3 linked regions of the Notamacropus eugenii genome follow. The protein of the gene in region 2 purifies or fractionates together with the protein of the main gene of each other region. This does not show direct contact. Links are inferred from orthologs where the notes say so. Each region holds a gene or a part of one and is shown on either strand. Other genes may lie near its edges. The genes, in order: CNNM2, PTP4A2 and CNNM4.

Evidence for each region.
Region 1: the proteins of PTP4A2 (region 2) and CNNM2 purify together in Homo sapiens (affinity purification with mass spectrometry; 4 studies listed by BioGRID and IntAct, counting the BioPlex papers as one, with this or other methods). This does not show direct contact. The link is inferred for Notamacropus eugenii from reciprocal best matches to the Homo sapiens genes PTP4A2 and CNNM2.
Region 3: the proteins of PTP4A2 (region 2) and CNNM4 purify together in Homo sapiens (affinity purification with mass spectrometry; 6 studies listed by BioGRID and IntAct, counting the BioPlex papers as one, with this or other methods). This does not show direct contact. The link is inferred for Notamacropus eugenii from reciprocal best matches to the Homo sapiens genes PTP4A2 and CNNM4.

What each region holds. Positions count from the first base shown.
Region 1 is NC_092872.1:181,110,579-181,117,935, reverse strand, and holds the start of CNNM2 (metal transporter CNNM2), read right to left. Parts: upstream 3,090-7,357; 5' UTR 2,945-3,089; coding exon 1,333-2,944; intron 1-1,332.
Region 2 is NC_092876.1:77,910,249-77,917,636, forward strand, and holds the start of PTP4A2 (protein tyrosine phosphatase type IVA 2), read left to right. Parts: upstream 1-4,320; 5' UTR 4,321-4,356; coding exon 4,357-4,452; intron 4,453-5,926; coding exon 5,927-6,019; intron 6,020-7,388. Other genes in the region: uncharacterized protein, read left to right, coding at 3,712-3,800.
Region 3 is NC_092872.1:523,577,749-523,584,779, forward strand, and holds the start of CNNM4 (metal transporter CNNM4), read right to left. Parts: upstream 3,102-7,031; 5' UTR 3,087-3,101; coding exon 1,694-3,086; intron 1-1,693. UniProt on the Homo sapiens protein: Probable metal transporter. The interaction with the metal ion chaperone COX11 suggests that it may play a role in sensory neuron functions. May play a role in biomineralization and retinal function.

The sequences.
Region 1 (7,357 bases), on a different chromosome or scaffold from region 2:
AACCTGGAAAATGGAATTAAGTAATATACTGGGTGGGTCAATATTTCTGATTCTCACAACTAGGAAGCCACCCGTTAAAGTGAACTTTTTTGGCTGGGACACTGTCAGAAATAGAAAATGTATTTCCAGGAATAAATAAAAGTGTTGTTAGGAGCCAGTTATTAAAAGCTAACATATATGCCCTCAGACTATTTTCATAAGAAACCAAGCATCTTTGTTTTCAAGATAACACTACAAGATAAACTAACTGATTTTTATTTTAAACCCAGTACTACTATCTTTACAAGAAAAGATTCTGGCTACCAAGTCCTTGCATGATAAAAAGACATAAGATACCATGAGCATATAGGCTACTTTTTCCTACAAACAACCTTGGATCCCAGCATTGCTAACATACTTCCCCTGAATGTACCGGGCAGTCAAGGTTAAAAAGAAAATTTATTAGGTCAGAATTACTAAGATCTAAACGAACAACTATTAATAAAGGGATGCAGCAGGTTAAGGGTCAAGCTTTGTGCAGGACTCATATTTGCCTTTGGAAATTCTATTGGTTGTTTCCTGTAAACGTGAAAACAAATTGACAAGAAAGTTAAGCAAAGATATAACCTTAGTGAAAGGTTAACTTCGGTCTTCCCAAATTACAAGCTAATAACTAACCTGGTTCTAAAAAGCTCTTCTCTCACTGAAGCAGGTCACATCCAGGCGGCTCAATTTTTCTGTGGTACTCGGATCACCTCCCTCTCTCCCTTCCCCCATGGGTAGAGCAGAGAAGGAAAAACCAAGTACCGTGTAGCCTGCCTGTTCTGCCCTAAGGGCTCAACGCAACCATGAAATGAAGCACAAGAAATGGCATTTTCCAAACCCTGGAAAGTCGAGGGTTTGGGAAATGGCTGGGCTTAGTCCCCAAGAGCTATTTAAAAATACTAGGCAAGAGAATCTGCAACCACAAGTCAAGTCAACATCTTCAGCATGCCTAAATCGCCTCAATCCTGCCTCCCCATTCAGAACCAAAGCAAGGCAGCAAAAGCACTTATAATCATCCGCATCCCAAACTCCCAGCATTCGTTCCTTGGAGACTGCCCTTAAAAGGTGAAATAACGGATTTAAGACCCCGTGCATTTTGAAAGCCCAGCTCGGAATCCTGGACCAGTCCTTACACATCTACACACCCCTCCCTCCTCCCTCCCGGCTATGCAGTAAGACGGAAAGGAGGGAGGGAGAGTTCCAGTCCAACTGACCACCTTGGGGGAGCAGGGGAAGAGAAAGGAAGGGGAAGGAGGGGAGGGGCAGGGAAGGAGAAGTAAACCAAAAGGAGGTAATCAATTCGCCCACCTTTCTTAAACTCTTCCAGCATGGCGTCCAGCTTAGTGTCATTGAAAACAAAGTGCAGAGGGTGATTGTAAAACTTGGTGATGGTTTTCAAGGGAGTGGAGTCATCGGGGTCCACGAACGCCAAGTCCTTGACAAAGAGGAGGTCCACGATGTTGGAGCGCTCCCCTTCGAAGACCGGGATTCGAGTGTAGCCGCTCTCCATGATCTCGGACATGGTGTTGAAATCCAGGATCGCCTCTCCCGTGATCATGAAGCAGTCCCGCAGCGGAGTCATCACGTCCTCCACAGTCTTGGTGCGGAGCTCCAGCGCCCCTTGGATGATGTTGAGCTCCTCCTTGACGAGGTCGTTGTAGGGGTCGGTGACGCGAAGCATCTCCAGCAGCTTCTCGCGGTTGTAGACCGTGCCGATCTCCTGGCCCAGGACGCAGTCCAGCAGCTTGCTGACCGGGTAGGAGGCGGGAAAGGTCATCATCATGAAGAACTTGGTGAGGAAGATGGTGTTGGCGCCCACCGCCAGGCCGTGCCGGGAACAGATGGCCTGGGGCACTATCTCCCCGAAGATGACGATGCCGATGGTGGACACCACCACGGCCACCAGGCCGGAGCCCGCGATGTCGTCCAGCAGGATGGTGAGGGTGGTGTTGACCAGCACGTTGCCCAGCAGCAGGGAGCACAGCAGGTAGTTGCCCTGCCTGCGCACGGGCTCGATGCGCTTGGCGTAATTCTTCTCCTTCTCCGTGCCGCAGTTCTGCACGATGCGCAGCTCCATGGGGTCCAGCGCCATCAGCCCCAGGTTGAGGCCGCTGAACATCCCCGAGAGGCAGAGCAGCAGCGAGATGAAGATCACCTGCAGCCAGAAAGGTAACAGAAACTTCTTCTCCTCGCCCACGATCATCTTCGTGTCCTCGCCATCGTGGTAGATCCAGGTGGTCTCTGCCCACGGGGGCGGAGGGAGCCCCGCCACGCCGCGGCCGCCTTTGCCCCCCACGGGGCTGCCCGCCGAGCCGGGGCCGCCGGCCGCCACGGGCGGGGTGGAGAGCGACGTGCACAGGTAGTAGGACTTGCTCTTCTCCGTCTTGCGCAGAGGCTTGATCTCGATCTCGATGATGCCCGACGTGCGGCGGTTGAGGACGATGTGGGGCAGGATGATGATGTCCGAGGTGCGGATGCCGCAGCGCTGGGGGCCGCTCTCCGGCTCCGGCTGCAGGGGGCCCCCGGCCCCCCTCTCCCCGTGACCCTGCCGCCTCCGCTCGTGCTCGGTGAAGGCGATGCGAGACCAGGTCTCGTTGTTGATGTTCTGCCCGTAGACCCGCAACTTGACCCGGGTGCGCTCGCTCACCCGCAGCGCCCCCCCTTCCATGAACGACACGTCGTTCGTGTCTTCCAGCCTCAACCCGATGATCACCGTCTCTTCCGCCTCGCCGGCCCCCGCGCAGCTGCCCCCGCCGCAGCAGCAGCTCAGCAGCAGCAGCAGCCCCGCCACCACCCGCAGGACCTCCCGGCCGTGGGCACTGGGGCTGCGGCGCGCCGCCATCTTCCAAGTGGGCAGTGCGGCGACCACCGGCCCGCCCGCCATCTTTACTTCGGGCTTACAACCGCCACAGCCAATCATAAGGGGGCTGCTCCGGCTGCGGCTTCATCCTTCTCTCCGGCTGCCCGAGGCGCAGGCACGGGCACCTCAGCTGGGGTGCCACCGGGAGTCCGCCCCCGGCGCCTCACTGCCCCCTTCGCTCGCTGACACTGACACTGCCCGGGCCAAATACTGGACCTCTAGCCTGAGTGGGGAGGGGGAGGAGGCGGGAGCGGTCGGGCTCCAACTTGAAGGGCAGCTAGGCCGACCACTCAGGAGCGAGCACCCGCCCTCTCAGTTAGGGGGCTGGAATGAAGGCGTGGCCACCGGCTGCCCCATGGGCCAATAGCAAGGTAAGGGGGTGGGGCGACTTTTTTTCCCCCCCGGCCTCCTCACCACGCCAAGTTTCCAACTGCAAGGCGCGTGACTCTTGTGTATGTGTGAAGGGAGGAGGTGTGGCCAGTGGGAACCCATGAACCAATCAGAGATCCGAGGTCGACGGAAAAAGGTGGGGCTGCCCAGTGCCTAGCCAATGAAATTTCAGCAAGCCTCCAGCCAGGCGCTCTCCTTTGGGAACTTGATAGTAGACGGAGGCTCGTGCACGTTCTGCAGGTGCAGTGTCAGACTCGGGGCTATTTTGCTCTTCGCTCGAGCAAGTACCTGCCTTGGCCGCCGGTCCTTTCATCGCTTGTCCCGCGTTACTTCATGCAGGCGCAGCGTGGGCTTGAGCCCGCTGTGGCACCTCTGGCAGGGGGCCTCTGCAGGGTTAGAGAAGCCAGTTTGGAGAAGGGACGATGGAAGCGTGCGTGAAGCTAAACGTCGTTTTATTGCCCCAGGGCATCAGGGTCGTGCCAGGGCATCCCACTGCCTTGGCGTGAACGGCGGCGTACTGCAAAGGGGCAGAGGAGCATCGTCTACAGCTGACCGGCCAGCTCCGTCCAAAGCCACGTGTTTTCGAGTGCCCGCCGGTGGGAGAAGCAGGTTGGCATGAGAAGGCGCCCTCGGGCGGCTGGTAGAACCGCAGCACCGCCTGCCGTCAGCGAAGCTGTCCTGCAGATGTTTTCTGTGCCAGCTGCAAATGCTCCTCTCTACCTTGTGTATGAGTGAATAAAACATGTACAAGGTATAAAGTCGGGGGAGGTGGAGAGCGAAGGTGGAGAGGTTCCCGTGGAGGAGGTCTTTTAGTATCAAGTATTAATTTAACAGTATTAAAATCACTTTAATTTTAATTCATCAACAAGTTATAATCTTAATAAATGGGTTTATTAGATTAATTAAAGTGTTAGAAGTATCAAGTAATACTTTAAACTTTGAAGGAAGCTAGGAATCTTAAGGATGGAAATGAAGGGGGAGAGTGTTCCAGGTATGGAGGACCACAGCCAGTGCTAAGACCCAGAGGTGGGAGATGGGTAGTATATGCCTGGGGCTTACAATGTGAGGAGAGGAAGGTGGATAACAAGCTTGAAAATTTAGGCTAGATCCAGACCACTGAAGGTTTAAATGTTCACCAGAGGAGCTCGGGACTCCACACCTGAGAAGTGTGGATTCAGGCTGAAGCCCCGTGAACTGGAAAGGTGGAGGTTTGACCTCTGCCACTTTATGTATGACCTTGGGAAAGTGGTTAACCGACTCTCAGTTTCCTCATCTGTAAAAGGAGGTAATACTTGCATTTTATTGCAATGTCTAGTGTATAGTACAATGCCTGCCTGCCACATAAGTGTTCAATGAATGGCTGTCAAATTAAAAGAAGGCACTTTTTTTGAGCTTTTAAAAAACAAACAAACAAGTGCATTTTGTACCTTTGGATGGATGGATCATGTTGCACACAAATCAAATATGTTTTGCTAAGTTTTTTGGAGCGGGGTCAGTTTTATTTAAGGGCTCCAAAGATATCACAGTAGTTGGTTCCATTAATTTTTCCTCATTCTAACCTGGTTCCCTCCCCCCAAAACACACACACACGCACACACACACACAAACCTACACACACACACACACACACACAGACCTACACACATCTTCATGCTTAAAACTTGAATTTGAAATCAAAGGTTAAAAGGAGAAAATTTGATTGGCAGACATGACACAGAATGTTGTCTTTCTCTGAAAGAGTAAAACTAAGATATGTCATTTAAAAACAAAACTAAGGAGTTTTAGGGATACTTGTCAATGGTCGAAGGTAAGTAATTAAATAAAAATTACCAGAAATGAGGGCATAGGAATTTTGGACTAATGCAGCTTTAGAAATAGCATGTTATTGTTGAGTTTCGGCCATGTCTGACTCTTCATGACCCCTTTTGGGGTTTTCTTGGCAGAGATACTGAAGTGGTTTGCCATTTCCTTCTCCAGGTCATTTTACAGATGAGGAAACTGAGGCAAACAGTTAAGTGACTTGTCTAGGGTCACACAGAGTCTGAGGCCAGATCTGAACTCAGAGAGATTAGTCTTCCTGACTCCAAGCACTTTACCAATTAGTTACCCACAAACAGCTTAGGAGTTCTCAACCTGAGGGTCTATGAACGTGTTTTTAAAAAGACATTTTGATAATATTTCAATATAATTTGCTTCCTTTGCATTGTTATGTATCTTATGATATGCATTTAAAAATAATGTTCTAAGAAGTGCCACATAGGCTTCACCAGACTGCCAGAGGGGTCTACAACAGTTTTTTAAAAAGGTTAAAAATTCCTGACTTAGATCAAATACTTTGATAACATAAAGATCTCAGAATTTCACTGGTCAGTCCTTCCAACAACAGTGCCAGGCACCTAGTGGATGCTTAATAAATGCTTGTTGACTGCCTACCCCGCTACTAAGGAGTAAACAGTAGATGACTGTGGAGAACCACTATTATTAAAAATCCATCATAGAAGCTCTCGATTAGCTTCTGGTGATGATCTTTACCCTTTTCTAGCCTGGTTGTACCAAGCCCATTCTTAAAATCTTTTCAGTTTGGTAGTAACTACAAGAGATTGTGCTCCATTGGCACAGCTTCCAAGGCTCCAGTGAGGCAGAAGAGGAGATTTTTAGTGTAAGAGAACATAAGAATATAAGAAGCTGGGTACAAGAGAGATTTCCCCTGAGGAAACCCCAAGGTCCCCAAATCTCCCTTCATACCTTGTTTTGTTCAGTCATTTCAGTTTTGTTCAATTCTTGGTGACCCCATTTGAGGTTTTCTGGCAAAGATAATGGAGTAGTTTGCCATTTCCTTCTCCAGTTCATTCTACAGGTGAAGGAACTGAGACAGACAGGGTTAAGTGACTTGCCCAGGATCACACAACTAGTAAGTGTCTGAGGGTAAATTTTAACTCAAATTCTTCTGACTCCAGGAACAGCACTTGATATATCCACTGCGCCACCTAGCTGCCCCTTCATAGCTGCAAAGCCAGAATTGGTGCAAGATACCTATAAGAGAAGAGGATTTGAAGACTTGTAAATGTTAAGTATACCCCTTCCAAAACAAGTCAGGTGTGGGACAGAAGTGCCAAATAGATTTCTTGCACTTTTCAAAACTAAACTGGCAGTACAGTATTGGGGTCAATGGTAGTGGGGCCGAAGGTGGGTTGGGGGGGACCAATAAGAGTAGATCAAGCACTGAACTTAAGCAAGACCTGGGGGTACAAAAAAATCCAACCCCAGACACTTGCCAGTCCTTTGGAGCGAGTCATTACAATTCTTTCAGCCTTATCCTTATCTGTAAAATGGGCAGCTAGGTGGTTCAGTGGATAGAGCACTAGTGCAGGAGTCAGGAGGACCTGAGTTCAAATCTCACCTCAGACACTTGACACTTACTAGCTGTATGACCTTGAGCAAGTCACTTGGCCCCAGTTGCCTCATCCTGGGTCATCTCTTGTCATCCTGATGAATATCTGGTCACTGGATTCATATGGCTCTGGAGGAGAAGTGAAGCTGGTGACCTACACAGCCCTCACTCACTCAAAACAAAGTCAGGTGCAAAGTCATGTCATTATTTCTCTGATGGCATGGTCTTCTTCGGCAACGAAGAATGAATACACACTCCCCAACCATCTATCTATAAAAGGTGAATAACACCTACCTCACATGGTTGTTGTGAAGTTCAAATGAGATAATATACTAAAGTGCTTGGCAATCCATAAGATCTGTAAAACATCAGTTGTTATTAGTGGTATAACTAGGAATGTGGGATTCCCTAGCAGTATACATATACATATATACATACATACATATATGTGTATATATATATATATATATATATATATATACACATATATACATACATACATATATGTGTATATATATATATATATATATATATATACATATATATATATATATCAGAAGGGTCACACTGACCTTTTGTTAGCTGAAAAACAAAGAATTACGGTGCCTCTGAAATGTAAATGGGCTTTCTTAGAAGGAAAAGAGGATTTTTACACTTACCAAAGTCGTCTGAAGCTCATTACTGTCCCTAGT
Region 2 (7,388 bases):
GAAATTGAGAGATTTGCCCTAGGTCATACAGCCAGTTAAAGTGGCAGAGTTGGGACTCAAGCCCAAGTCTTCTGACTCCAGATCTGATTTCCAACACAACATTGCCTCCTGGAACAGATACAGTACTGAATGATTTTGTGGTTGGTCCCCATATATACATTGTTAGAACTGTAAGGGACCCCGTAGAGATCAAGTAGAACAACAACACAATTTACAGATGAGGAAATAGTTATTAAGTGACCTTGTTACATAATAACTAAGCTAGGACTTTAGTCTAGGTGTAGGTTTGCTTTCCTCTCTCTTCTTAAGGATCCCCTTTCCCCCCATTTTTATATACTTATCAAATACTTATTTTTATCTTAAAATTTTGATAAGGTAGTTTATGGCCCATTATCTTAGCCATTACCTTCCAAATCTATACAAACTTTTGTCACTGTCTGACACTGAGTAGCTTCCAACAGGCCTTCTTTAACGGGTTAATTGAGCATCCTTTATAGTATTGTACTGTTGACTGTCCACTTTCCCTCATGAATTTAAGCCCTGGTTAAGCCCATCTGACAGCACACCATCTCAAGTTATTATAAATACTGAAAGGATGGTTGTCAGATACTTTAAAGTAATTCAGACTCTTTAACAATCGAACAGATTTTTAAATTTTACCCTCTCCCTAAATAGATAAAACAAAATTAATGCCAAAAATACAACTTTCTTTTAAAAGTCTTCCTGGAGCGTTTACAGGTGCTAACTATTTGCTGAACCATGGGAGTCTCCAACTTTTGAGTTCTTCCCAGTTGTAGTAGATTGTTCATGCTCTCTTAGAGTCTTGTTGCTTTGAATTATTATGAGTTCCAAAGGTACTTGCCTTAGTTTAAATGAACTGACAGGTTGCAAAAGGTTCACCACTGATGTAGCCAAACACTTCTTTGGGGGTGTGAGGGGATAGCGAAGAGAAGCTTAATTTTATTACCATGGGTCTATGAACACTTATAAAACACTTTCTTTTGGCATGACTTCTTGTGTTGGGGATCTCTATGTTAAGGGAAAAAATGTCACAGTAAATTATCGTTCCTGGAAGTGATCCTTCCAGAAGGGAGTTGGAAAAGAAATATGTGAGAAAGCTCGCTGTTCTCCAAGCAGACAAATGCTAGTATCCAGGTAGAAAACTTAATTCTGGAGTCTTTACTTTTAAAGCTTGGCCATCAGTACAATGCAGTCTTTTCATTGCTTTTTTCTCAATTGACAGACACATTTAACCTTGATGATATCTGTGGTACCAAAGGGCTTCAAAGCAGGTTAGAATTTCCTTGTGTTTTGCTGTGAACTGCTTTGAATAGTTATTCTTATAACATAAAAAGAATGATTGTACATTCACAGAGTAACTGATGAACAATTTTAGCAAATATGTGAAGAAAACAGACTGCAATGAAAGAGATTGTGATGAATTCCTTCTCTGTGGGAGGGGGCTGTTCCCCCCTTCTCCCAGCCTTTCCCTATGATAATTGACACACCTTGTTAACTCACAATTCTGGACTCACTGCCAGGAGACTCTGGGTTCTAGGAGACTGACCCCTGTTCTTCCAAGTACCTTTATGACCTTGCCCTTGTCCCTCCCTCTCAGTTTCTTCACTTGATGAAGGATTGGATCTAGTGATCTCTAAGGTTCTTTCCAAATCTAGGATCCTGTAATTCTGTGGCCAGTATTTTAAAGACAGATCTGGTTGGATGATTTGAGATTGATGTTTTTGGTTTGTGTTAAAATTACAAATACCTGAGAAGAGTATGAGTGGTAGTATGTATGTTTTCACTCTCCTTAAGTTTAAGAACTTTTTGCTTTTGCAGTGTTTGATGCCTTTAATGGATAAGATAGTGGTATGAATGCCATTTGAGATACTGTGTCTTCTAAATTTAAAGAATGTTTTATTTTTGTACTTTTTTCAATGATAACAGAATCCATGCAGTTAAAACAAATTATAAAAGAAGATTGAGTAAAGAATTAGCTTAAGTGTTTGGAGATTAGGGTTTTCCTGGGCATGATGTTGTTACTTTCCTATGAACTTTATTCTTATTTATTAATTGGGCAAAACCCCTTGCTGCTTCTTTCCCTTCCTTTTAGAGAATTTGGATATTAGCGAGAATAAATTAACAAATAAGTTTATAAATGTCTTGAGAGAGGCATCAGGTGATGGAAGGGGACTGGCTTTGGAGTCAGAAAGACATGGGTTTAAGTCCTGCCTCTGACTCATACTAGCTCTGGGATCCAGGTCACTTAACTTTTTGGTGTGCCAGGCAACTTTCTTAAGTTTAGTAGTTAAAAATGGGAGTTTCCACATTGAAAGTTGAAACCATGTCTGGATCCTCCCAGATGGGAAAAGCTGTCACCAGAGGTCGGCTTCAGGGTGATGAATTTTGGGAGCATCGTAATCGTCTTAGGTTATTTGTCCATCTAGCCATCCATAGTTTGGCTTCAGTGTCAGTCGAGGAGCACCTGAATGGATAAAACCAAGGATTCTTAAGGAGTGGGAAGTTCACTGCGGGTTTTCCATTGTGCTTCATCACAGTAGATGTGGCTGTGGGCTCTGTTCTTCCTCTCTGGGTGTGCTGCATTTGGCACAGGTGGGTGCTCTTGCCTTGGAAAGGATGTTTTGAAGGACTGTGAAGTTCACCAGGGGACGGCCAGTCTGGTTAACTTTGGGTCTCATTACCAGGTGGGCTGAAGGGAAGTGAGTTTTTTTTGTTCACAACTATTGAAAACTGGTAGAAGGCTTGTAGATCTGCCCTAGGAGTATGCTGAGCGGGGAGACAGGAAGAAAAACATCATCCCATTAGAGGAGTTTATATTCTAGTTGAGGAAACCAAACAGACCTAAGAGTGCTCAAAGAAAATGAATAGTCTTAACCAACTAAGTGCATATGTCAGACCCCTGGCACAGTTATTCTGACTTAAAATGTTGGAAAACTTTGCCTTTTTTTCTTGTTTTGTTTTTTTTGGGGTTTTTTTGGTGAAAATTTGGGGGGAGGCTAGTGATGGAGGTGTAAAACTTCCTTATGTCAGCTCTATGATTTTATACTCTTGCCTCCGTGAAGTAGGAACAGAAGTTGTTAAAAGGTGAAATGAGAAAAAAAAGAGGTGTGGTCACTCTGGTTGGGAGCCAGTTGTTATTTTGTGGGGAGTAAAAGAGGTTTACAGTCTCAAGGATAAATGTGTGAATCCCTCTCCCCAGTCTTCTAGTTCTTGTAATCTGCTTTAAACAAATAGGAAATATATGAAAACTTGACTTGCAAGGGCCATGAGTAAGGGGAGGGGAGGGGAGGGGAGGGGGTGGTGATTGTATCATGGAAGGAATCCATCTGAAGGTAAAATTACTTTAAATAGTGAATTACACATGTAAAAATTTGATAGTTTCCTCAGCACTTTTTAATGAATAACTTCGTTAAAGCAAAGTATACCTACATATATTTTAGAATTTGTTTTCTGCATATCCAGTTGTGTATATCCAGTGCTCTTCTATAATTCCATGTTTATTATGGTAACTTAGAATGAATAGTAAAGAGTGCATTGTATTTATGCTGTTTTCCACTGTTAGAATGGAAGCTGCAGGTGGGCTTTTGTATTCCCAATGCTTGTTGAATTGAATTTATTTCTTTATAGCATTGTGTGCTATAATGCTGTCAGCTGACTACTTACACACTTCGCCTTTTTCCTTTCCTGTAGGTTCTCTGTTGGAATTCACTCCGCACGTTTATGGCGATTCTGAGCGTGCAGGCAGACTTCTGCCAGGCTCAGCACAGTGCTTTCGCTGACAAGTGAGCTTGAGGCTTCTATGTGCCATAATTAACATTGCCTTGAAGACTCCGGACACCAAGATTGGCCTCAGAAAAATTTGGCATATATCTATATTTTTTTTCATATTGGAAGCATATTCCCTTTAACGACTCCAGCAAAGTTAAGCATCAAGAAAACACAAGTGCAGAGCGGGTCTATACTTTCACCTTGCCTCACCAGTGCCTAAATGTAGGAAAGGTCGCTGAAGTTGCAGGCAGTTGGAATTTTGGAGGTTGAAGGTAACCATCTGCAGTCATTGAGGCCCAAGTTGAATCTGAATTCCAGTGGATTCTAAATAGATCTGCTTATCCTGAAGAAACTCCTTAAGGAAGGAACAAACTGACTAGAGAAGACTGATCAATAATAGGCATTTTTGTGGTCTTTTTAATGTTTTCTGCTGTGAAACGTTTCAAGGGTTATTGATTTTTTCCCCCCATTTTCCCATCTCTCTTCCTCAAACACACACCCACACATACCTACTCTCCCCTGTCTCTCTCTTTCTCTCACACGCATACACACTTTTTGTCTGCCATAATGAACCGTCCAGCCCCTGTGGAGATCTCTTATGAGAACATGCGTTTTCTGATTACCCACAATCCTACCAATGCAACACTCAACAAGTTCACAGAGGTAAGAGTGCGGTGCAGTCCACTTTAGGGATTCATTTTGTAGGTTTAAAAACCCATTATAGTGAATGTCTTTATAAAGAGGTTCTTGTACCACAAAGCTTTTTCCATCCATGAGGGATAGCTGTAAGCCTTGTTTGACCTGTTTACAACATAATCATGGCTTTTAGAGCTGGAAAAGGACTCCCACAAGGATTCCAATCTAACCCAGTATGGCCTTTTCTGGGTCTTGGTCTTAAAACAATCACTGATACTTTTCCATGTCTCCAAGTAGCAATTGCCCTTCCACTCCCAGGTACCCTGACCTGAAGCTCCCTTAAAACCCTGGACCATTCACCTGAAGAACAGCCACCCAAAGATGACTCCAGAACTCAGGGGTAGTATTGGAATGAAGGTATGGGACAGGGTATTAATATTTGCAGAATCTCTTCCTGTTCCTACTGAAATTGGAGTGTTATTTTCATTGGCTAATTTGTTGCCAAATTTCTGTTCTCCTTAATTTCCGTGTCCTGAATACTAAGAATATGATTTTTCTCAGTGTACGATGGTTTGTTGTTTTTTTTTTTTAACACGAATACAACTGGCATATGATTGAGTCCTATAGAGTTCACTATAATGAAATTTTATCTGTATTTTGAAAGTTTTTTAATTGCTGATTCCATAGAGTGGTTTCAAATCTCCTGGATTTATGCTTTAAAAATAGTCCATTAATCATTTTAATAATACTATGATTTATGTAGATGATTTACTTTCCTTACAGGCTATCAGTGTTCTCATTTATTTATATTTGTAATTCTTTAAGCGATTTTATTTGCTGCACATGGTATGCAAGTTGACCAGAGGCCTGTAATGGAGTCATGGCATTTCAGTGACCTAAGACTTTTTAGATCTGGCTCAGTACTATCTCATGTTGTTTCTAGTTGTAGGCCATCCACTTCAGAGATAGCAGAGGAACCTCATCTTTGAGGTTCCCTCATCTCTTGCAGCTGTTAAGTGATGGTGGCAGAGATGCCAGGTGAAAGTAGAACGAAGAACATATAGAGGAGCAGGGAGCCAGGCTGTGATTGTACTTTGCTATCTTCTGCCATACCTCACAGCTTTTCTAAAGTAGAGTTTCAGAAAAGTGCTATTAGAGGGAAGAGCTCTGGATTAGGAGTCAGGTAACCTGGTGTATGGTCTCACCTCTACCCTACTTGATCCATAGCTCTTTGAAGTCAGCATTGTGTCCTTTTTCATCTTTGTATACTTAGCATTGTGCCTTGCACATAATGGACACCTAAGAAATAAATGGTTGTTGCATTAAACTGAACTAATATGAATGATCTTGGGCAAGTAATTTCTTCCTTCTAGGCCTCAGCTCCTTCATCTATAAAGTGAACAGGCTTCATTAGATAATCTATAGCATTCCTTCAGTTCTTTTTTAAACTTTTGTTTAAACCTTAGATAGCAAATATACTTGTATTTGTTTTTCTTTAAAGGAACTTAAGAAGTATGGTGTGACAACTTTGGTCCGAGTTTGTGATGCTACGTATGATAAAGCTCCAGTTGAAAAAGAAGGAATCCAGGTTCTAGTGAGTGTGTAGTATTTATAATTTTCCACTATTAAGTAAATCTAAATACTGATATAGTTATACAGGCCAAGTTTGTACACAGCAAAGCCAAATTAGATTGCTAAAAGTTGAAATTGTTTTTTTGAATTGCTGATTCAATATAGTGCCAAAAAATAATTTTTAGCCATCTCATTTGACTCCTGGATTATTAGTAAATTGGTAAAATTTTAATTCATCTAAAAAGACTAGAATTGCAGGACATTTTTTACCAAATACATGTGAACTAAAAGTCCCTATTTATCTCAAGAAGGTGGAAATTTGCATTTTTCTTTGGATTTTAATAAATGTGATATTCAGCTTTCATTTAAATCTAACTGGAAGTAATTTCCATCAGCTCTTCATAAGTTACATTTGATAATATATTTCTTCTATAAGTACAAAATTATTCCTTTTTAATTTTTTGATAGTTTGGGAGACAAGAGGGAGAATCAGAAGGATCAGAAGGCAGCTTTACCTTAGAAAGTAATCAGCATAGATGATGACACTGTGTTAGGTCTGAGAAGTTGTGTCATGATTAGATTTCTTAGATAACTAAATCTGACAATAAAGCATTGGCTATTACTGAACTAAAAACCAACTTCCCTTTCACTTACCTAAATACTAATGAAAGTAGTAATACATCACCTTTACTTTATAGAGTACTTAGAGTATTTGTCAGGTGCATACATGGAAAGTGGTACGGTACTGAGAGAGTTTTGACAATATGTGGTCGCCCCTCATGAAAATTGTCACGTGACAATATCATGTAGTCTTTTTATCCTCCAGTAGAAATTAAGTTTGTATAACAGTGGTAAAGTTGATCCCTTTTATGAGCTTTCATATGTTTGATGTTGTTAAATTTAATTCAGCATTCCAGTGATTTCATTAATCTGGTTACTAAAGGTACCTGTAATCTCTTTGTATTCTTTAGTATGTGATCTTTTTAAAATTTATTTAAAAATTTTAAAGTGCTGATTCAATATAGTGCCAAAAATAATTTTTTAGCAGTCTCATTTGACTCCTGGATTATTAGGTAAATTGCTAAAATTTTGAATTTCTGTGACAAAGGGCATTTCCATATACGTAGCAGAATATAAAAAGTATTGTCATAGAAAAGTGAAAAATCTATTTTGTATGGTTACTTTTTTAAAAAAGTATTTTATAAATTCTACTTTACTTTCAAAACTGCCTGTTTAGGCTTCTTGCTATTTGGCTTTTTTTTGGGGGGGGGGGTTGGGGGAGGCATCACTATTGCTCTCTTTCTTGCTTAAATATCCCTCTGGTTAAAGACAGAAAGAAAAAACTACCCTTGTAACAAGTAAATATAGTCAAATAAAACAAAGCTATACAG
Region 3 (7,031 bases), on a different chromosome or scaffold from region 2:
AGAATAGTTTTTACATTTTAAAATGCAATAACTTTATTTGAAACTTTATTTCAAAATGTAAAAATGGTTCACAGGCCATACAAAAAAGCTTGCCCACCCCTCACCTAGTCCAACCCTCTCATTTTATAGAAGTTCATGAAAATGGAGTGGATTGTTAAATCATAATTAGTGGCAGAATCAAAATTTTAACTCAGGCCCTCTGACTCCAAATCCAAACCTCTATCCCAAAATGTGGATTTAATCTGCCTAACTATATAAAAGAGCATCCTTGGAGTCAGGAAGACCTAGTTAGCTGGGTCCAAGTCCCACCTAAGATGCATCCTGCCTTTTAAAGCTCTCTGTAACCTGGCCCCTTTCCTACCTTTCTAGTCTTCTTACACTTCCATCTCCTCCACATACTCTAAGATCCAGTGTTACTGGTCTCCTTGCTGTTCCTGGAAAAAAAATCAAAACATTCCATCTCCCTCCCCACTCCATGCCTTTTTCTTGGCTGTCCCCCAAGACCAAAAAGCACGTTTAATGCTAGGAAAAGGGGAGCCTATGGACATTACTATTTACATGTGGTCTCCTTTAGAATGTAAACTCTTTAAAGCAAGGGACTGTTTAGTCCTATCTTTGAATCCTGAGGCATTATGGAGGGTTGGTAAACAGTAATCACTTAATGAAAGCTGGTAGGGTGACTGGGGGGTGGGGTGGGGTAAGGGAATAACCAGATAAGAAATCACAAAGGGGGTAGGGGTGGGGTGGTCACACTTCAGCAACAGAACCAAATAATTCTGAGTACTACCCATCACCCCAGCTCCTGCTGCTCCCCGTTCTAGCCCGACACCAGCAATCCAGTCAGTTCCCCAACTTGACTCTGCTCCATGTTCCAGAAATAACTTACTGGGTCCTACCTCCCTTCCAGTCCCAAACTAAGGTTCAGAAGTCATTCCAAGGATAATGGGTGCAATTCAATCTATCTATGGCTCCCTTGACTGGAAAGGAAATGAGTCCAAAAGGAGGTGTCCCTACCTACCAGAAAGGGGACTTGGAACCAGAGACAATTGTGATTTGCAAATGGAAACCTCAGAAAAAGCCTGCCTGGTTCAGGTGAAAATTTTGTTTTCATCTCCTCCAAAAATGCCCGTTTTATTCCCTTTCAGTTTCCTTGCTGCTGAAACCCTAAGATATGTTCTAGTTCATAAATGACTTCTTGACAGTGTAGCTTGAGCCTGGATAAAAGCTTTGATGGAAGGAAGGGGATGTGTGTGCATTAGGTTTGGGACTGGTGAGTAAAACTCTCCTATTGCCTTTACAGTCAGCCTCTTGAGAGGTAGCCAAGAACTGATGAGTCGGAAAAGTACAGAGCAAGAGAAGGCCCATTAAATATGCCTAAAAGACCAATGAAGAGAGGCTGATGTCTTGGGCTTAGGAAGCTATGACACTCCTATTCCAAACACTGAATAATCTGCCTGCATTCCACTGAATTTTTAAAGCCCTCAAAATGTTATTTGGAACTCTCCCCATTCCACCACCTGAAGTAATGAAACAAGGGATAGATTCTCCTAAATGCTTTAGTTCATCCCAGAGGCAGTCTCTCAGAGTAACAGGAGGTGATGGAGAAGAGAGCACAGGCTACATACAAACAGAATCTGTCACAGCAGGCATAACAAGATTTCACAAAAAGACTTAATAGTCCACTAGGTCTTACCCTTCTTGAACTCCTCTAGCATGGCATCCAGTTTGGTGTCATGAAAGACAAAGTGAACTGGATGGTTGTAGAAGCGGGTGATGGTTTTCAGAGGAGTGCAGTCGTCTGGGTCCACAAAGGCCAGATCCTTGACATAGAGGATATCTACAATATTGGACTGTTCGTCCTCAAACACTGGAATGCGAGTGTACCCACTTTCCATGATCTCTGACATAGTGTTAAAGTCCAGGATAGCATCACTTCTGATCATGAAACAGTCATGGAGCTGGGTCATGATATCCTCCACCGTTTTGGTCCTCAGTTCCAGGGCACCTTGGATCATGTTGAGCTCTTCCTTCACCAGATCATTGTATGGTTCAGTCACCTTCAGCATCTCCATCAGCTTTTCCCTGTTGTAGACTGTACCAATCTCCTGACCAAGAACATAATCCAAAACCTTGCTGATGGGAAAACTTAAGGGGAAGGTAATTAGCATAAACAATTTCGTGACATTGATTGTGCTGGCCCCCACAGCCAGGCCATGCCGGGAACATAATGCCTGGGGTACAATCTCTCCAAAGATGACAATGCCAATAGTGGAGGAGGCCACAGCTACCACTCCAGATCCCAGTAGGTTGTCCAGAAGGATTGTGAGTGAAGTGTTGACCAGCACGTTGCCCAGAAGCAGGGAACAGAGAAGGTAGTTCCCCTTCCTTCGAATGGGCTCAATCTTTCGGGCATACCTTCTCTCTTTCTCCTTGCCACAATTCTGTATGATCCTTAGTTCCATAGGATCCAAGGCCATGAGACCTAGATTGAGGCCGGAGAAGATGCCGGAGAGCACCAGCAGCACCACGACCAGTACAATGTGCAGCCAGAGGGGCAGGAACTTACGCTTATCCTCCATGAGGAAGACCAGGGAGTCCTTGCCGGGCCACCTCAGCCACTTCCCCCCACTCCAGGTGCACAGGCCGTAAAGCCTCGCATTCTCACTCCTCCTTAGGAACTTGGTTTCCAGGATCAGCAGCGCGTTCGAGTTGTCCCTGCTCAGGTTGACCAGCTGGTGGACCATCAGGTCCTTGGTGACCCCCATGCAGAAGTTGGATTGGTGGACATCCTGCATCGTCTCCAGCTCCGTGAAGGTGATGTGGCCATGGTTTAAGGTGTCCAGGTTGAGGCCATACAGCCTCAGCCTCACCTGGCTGCCCTCGGAGACGAAGAGGATGCCCTCCGGGTTGGTCCCGCACGTCTTGTTGCAGCCTATCAGCCTCATGCCCAAGATTTTGGGCTCGTCCTGGCCCCGGGTACCCCGGACCCAGAGCAGCAGTCCCAGCGCCGCCAGGAGGAGGCGCCCTCGGGCCCGTCCTCCCGCCGGGCCCGGGCCCAGGCCCCCGCCCCCGCTGCCCGGCGCCATATTGCTGCTGCCGCCGCCGCCGCGCCCCAGGGCCCCCAGCCCCCCGCCGCGCGGCCCCGCTCAGCGCCGCCGCTCCTGCTGCTTCGCTGCCGCCGAGCCAACTGCCCGGGCCGCGGGCCTGACGTCACACCGGCGGCCCGCCCCCTCAGGGCCACAGACACACACCCGGTCCCACGCCCCCTCCGCCGGGAGCCACGCCTACTTCATTTGCATGTCACCGCCTACTTTAAACCCCCTTCCTCCTTCCTACTTCTCTTCCCTCCCTTCGGGGATGCCGGCACCTATTGCCCTGGTTTAAGGGGGTCTGGGTTTTTAAGGTGGACCTAGGCTGGGCAGGGATCGTACGATTTTTGAAGGGAGTGGTGAAAAGGAACATTAAAGGTCATCTAGTCCAGCCTCCTCGCTGTACACATAAGGAAAGGGAGGGAGGCCCGGAGGGAAGTGCCCAAGGTCACCCAGGGTGTAAGTCACAAGATTAGGATTTGAACCTAGGACAGGTTGGCGTCTCGCTCTCCACGTCTTGATTTTGCTCCTTAGAACTATCCCAAATTCATACAACTCTAGAAGTGGGAGAGGCCTTAGAAGTCACCAGGTTCAAGCTAGGGCCATTCCGAGAGCCTGCTGCCTTCGGTATCTCCCCCTGCCCACCCATCCCCCACATGGCTTTTAAACTGACTTCCTAAAACACAGGTCTGACCGGGTCACGCACAACCTCCCCCCACCCCCAAAGCAAACAAAACAGCTCCAGTGGCTCCGTTATCTCCATGATCAAATATAAAATCCTATGTTTGGTGTTCAAAGTCTCATAATCTGCACACACACACACACACACACACACACACACACACACACAGACACACACACACACACACACACAGACACACACACACACACACACACAGACACACACACACACGCACGCACACACACACACACACACACACACACACACACACACACACACACACTCCCCTCAGTCCAGCGTCATAAACCTTATTGTTTCTGAACTAGACACTCTCACGTCCTCAGACATTTTCACGGGTGATGGATTTCTCTCCCTCCTCCATCTGTCTCCTGGCTCCCCTGGCCTCCTTCAAGTCCCAGCTAAAATCTCACCTTCTACGGTATGCCTCTTCCGTCCCCTTTATCTAGTGCCTTCCTCGTTCATTATCTCCAATGTACTCTGCCCGTGCCTTATTTGTAGATAGCTATTTGTATGTTCAGGAGTTCAAATCTCAACTCAGACACTTACTAGCTGGGTGGCCCTGAGCAAGTCCACTTAACCCTGTTTGCCTCAGTTTCCTTATCTATCAAACAAGCTGGTGAAGGAAATGGTAAACCACTTCCGTATTTTTGTCAAGAAAACTCCAAGTGGGGTCACAAAGAGTCATGTGACTAAAAATGACTGAACAGCAACATTTACATGTTGTCTCCCCTATTAGATTATGAGAACCTTAAATCAGGGACTTTTTTTTATTTGTTTTTAAGTCCCTGGTGCATAGTACCTGGCACATAGCAGGTGCTTAATAAGTGCTAGTTGGCTGACAGATAAGGAAACTGAGGCCCAGGATTATACAAGTAAACCAGAGGAGCAGCAGGATTTGAAACCAGGTCATCTGAGTCTACATCACCTCATGTGGATCCTAGAAGGGACACCTCTATGATGCTATACTACTTCTTGCTAGGCTTCAGTTCCCTCATCTGTAAAATGGGGCAATTGATGACTCTAAGGATTTTCCTGCTTCTTATGGATGCCTGCACATGCCCAAACACAAAGCAGTCATATTGGAGGGGGAAAAATGCTGAACATCTAGAGCAGCTATTAATCTCCTGGGTGACTTTGGACAATTCACTCTACCTCTCTAGGAGGACGGAGGAGTGGACTAGAGGACCTATAAAATCCTTCTTTTACAACTAAGAGAAAGGAGAAAAGACAGATTAAAGTTCAGGCCTCCTGACATTCAGTCCAGCACTTTTCCCATAACATTGCAATGTTTTCTTTCGCGTTTCCTCATTCTTTTCATTACATTCAACAAATATCTATTAAGCATCTGCTGTGAATAGAGAACTGAGTTAGGAGCTGGGGTAGATAAAAAATTTGATAATGCCTGGTCACTACCCTCCTAGAGATTAGGCTCTTTTTTCTCAGCCTGCCCAAAATTCCAATGTATTTTCTGTTTTCCTTTCCAACATAATGTATGCTTGCAATATTAATATAAACAAATCCCTCTAGAAAAGGGCCACAAGTCAGGGAGACTAAAATTACCTCAAGTATCCCATTTATCAAGGTTCCCTTACAGCTCCTCTCTAGGACTGGTCAAATTTCCACACAATTACAGCTTACCCCCTTTTCTTTCCAGGTTAATAGTTCACTTTTAATGTGATTTATGTCCATCAAAATTACACTTAAGGAATAACTGGTAAAAGGATTTCCTTTCCCACTTTTTCCTCCCCATGTCATGAAAACTCCAGGAAGGTCCCACTCTGTTAAGCTTATAGCAGAATTTGGACAAGTCCCATTGAATCAAGAAGCATGGATGGGTTGGTCACCTGTTTCTGTAGAGGGATTAACCACATCAGTGAGACCAGTGACTCTTTGCAGTAGCAAAATTGGAGTGGGCCACCTTGGTTAGATAGTGTCAGAATTAGGAAAACCTAGTCCATTTCACTGGGCTAATCCAGGATCAGGACAAGCTTCCCTCATTCATGTGTTACTATTAGGATCATGGAATCAGATCTAGAGCTAGAAGAGGCCTCACAGGCCATCTTCTCCAAATCACTGACCACTCCCATTCTACAGGGTGAGGAAACTGAGGTGTAGAGAGTTTAAGGGATTTGCTTGAGGTCATATAGGTACAAAGTGCTAAGTGGCAAAACCTCCATGTGAACTCAGTCAGCAAGTATTTATTAAGCATTTACCAAGCACAATGCTAAAGCTGGGATTACAAAGAAAGGCTCCCTGCCCTTAAGGAGTCAGTCAGCTCACATTCTATCTGTGCAATGGGGATTTCATTCCTGGATTACTTGGGTATAAAGTACTTTGTAATTTGCAAAGTGTTTCATCAATAGAAGCTATTCATACTATTCCTAGTGCTTTGAGGAAAGGAGTGTGGACTGCCATTACCAGCACCCTAATTAATTTCTCTCTCTCTCCTCTCTCTCTCCCTCCCTCATTCTCTCTCTCTCTCTCTCTCTCTCTCTCTCTCTCTCTCTCTCTCTCTCTCTCTCTCTCTCTCTCTATCCCTTTGTCTCTCCCTCCCTCTCCCTCTCTCTCTCCCTCTCTCTCCTTCCTCTCCCCAAATTCTGTGGGGCAGTTGAAGACTATGACAGATTGCAGGTCTGCAGGTGGGCAGACCAGATGAAGAATGAGAAATGGGAGTTTAGATCAAAAAAGTCACTTCCCTGAACTGTCCAGACTAAACCTTTGCACTCAGTCATTGAATAATCATTTATTGAGTACTAGACACTTGAAGTATGAATTCAAAGTGGATCTGCCCAGACAAAATCAGTCCAAGGGAGCTCCAAAACACGTAGAAGCACAGATTTTAGGGAGGAACTCTGACTTTTTGTCTTAAGGGCCCCCATATCAGAGATATTTTCCAGACTCTATAGGCACAAAATCTATTCTATCTCCCTCACTCCACCCCCAAAATGCTGACACTTCTATTTCTTTTGCTTATCCAATTAGGCATTAAGATTAGGGAGGAGGAAGAGACAGGAAGAACAATGAATGGACTGGCAGGTGGGCCTCCTGGGTTTCATGACCACCTCTGCATCTGGTAGGGCATTATTGGATGGCCCAGAAAACAGGATGACAGTAGTGCTTGTGGCAGGGCCTGACCTGAGCCAGTCTGTTTGACGACACTTGCCCCAGTTCTCTCTCATTCTGTTGAGCAAGAAGATGATATCTGACTTGAGGAATGCTCACAGAGCAGACCCTGCTTG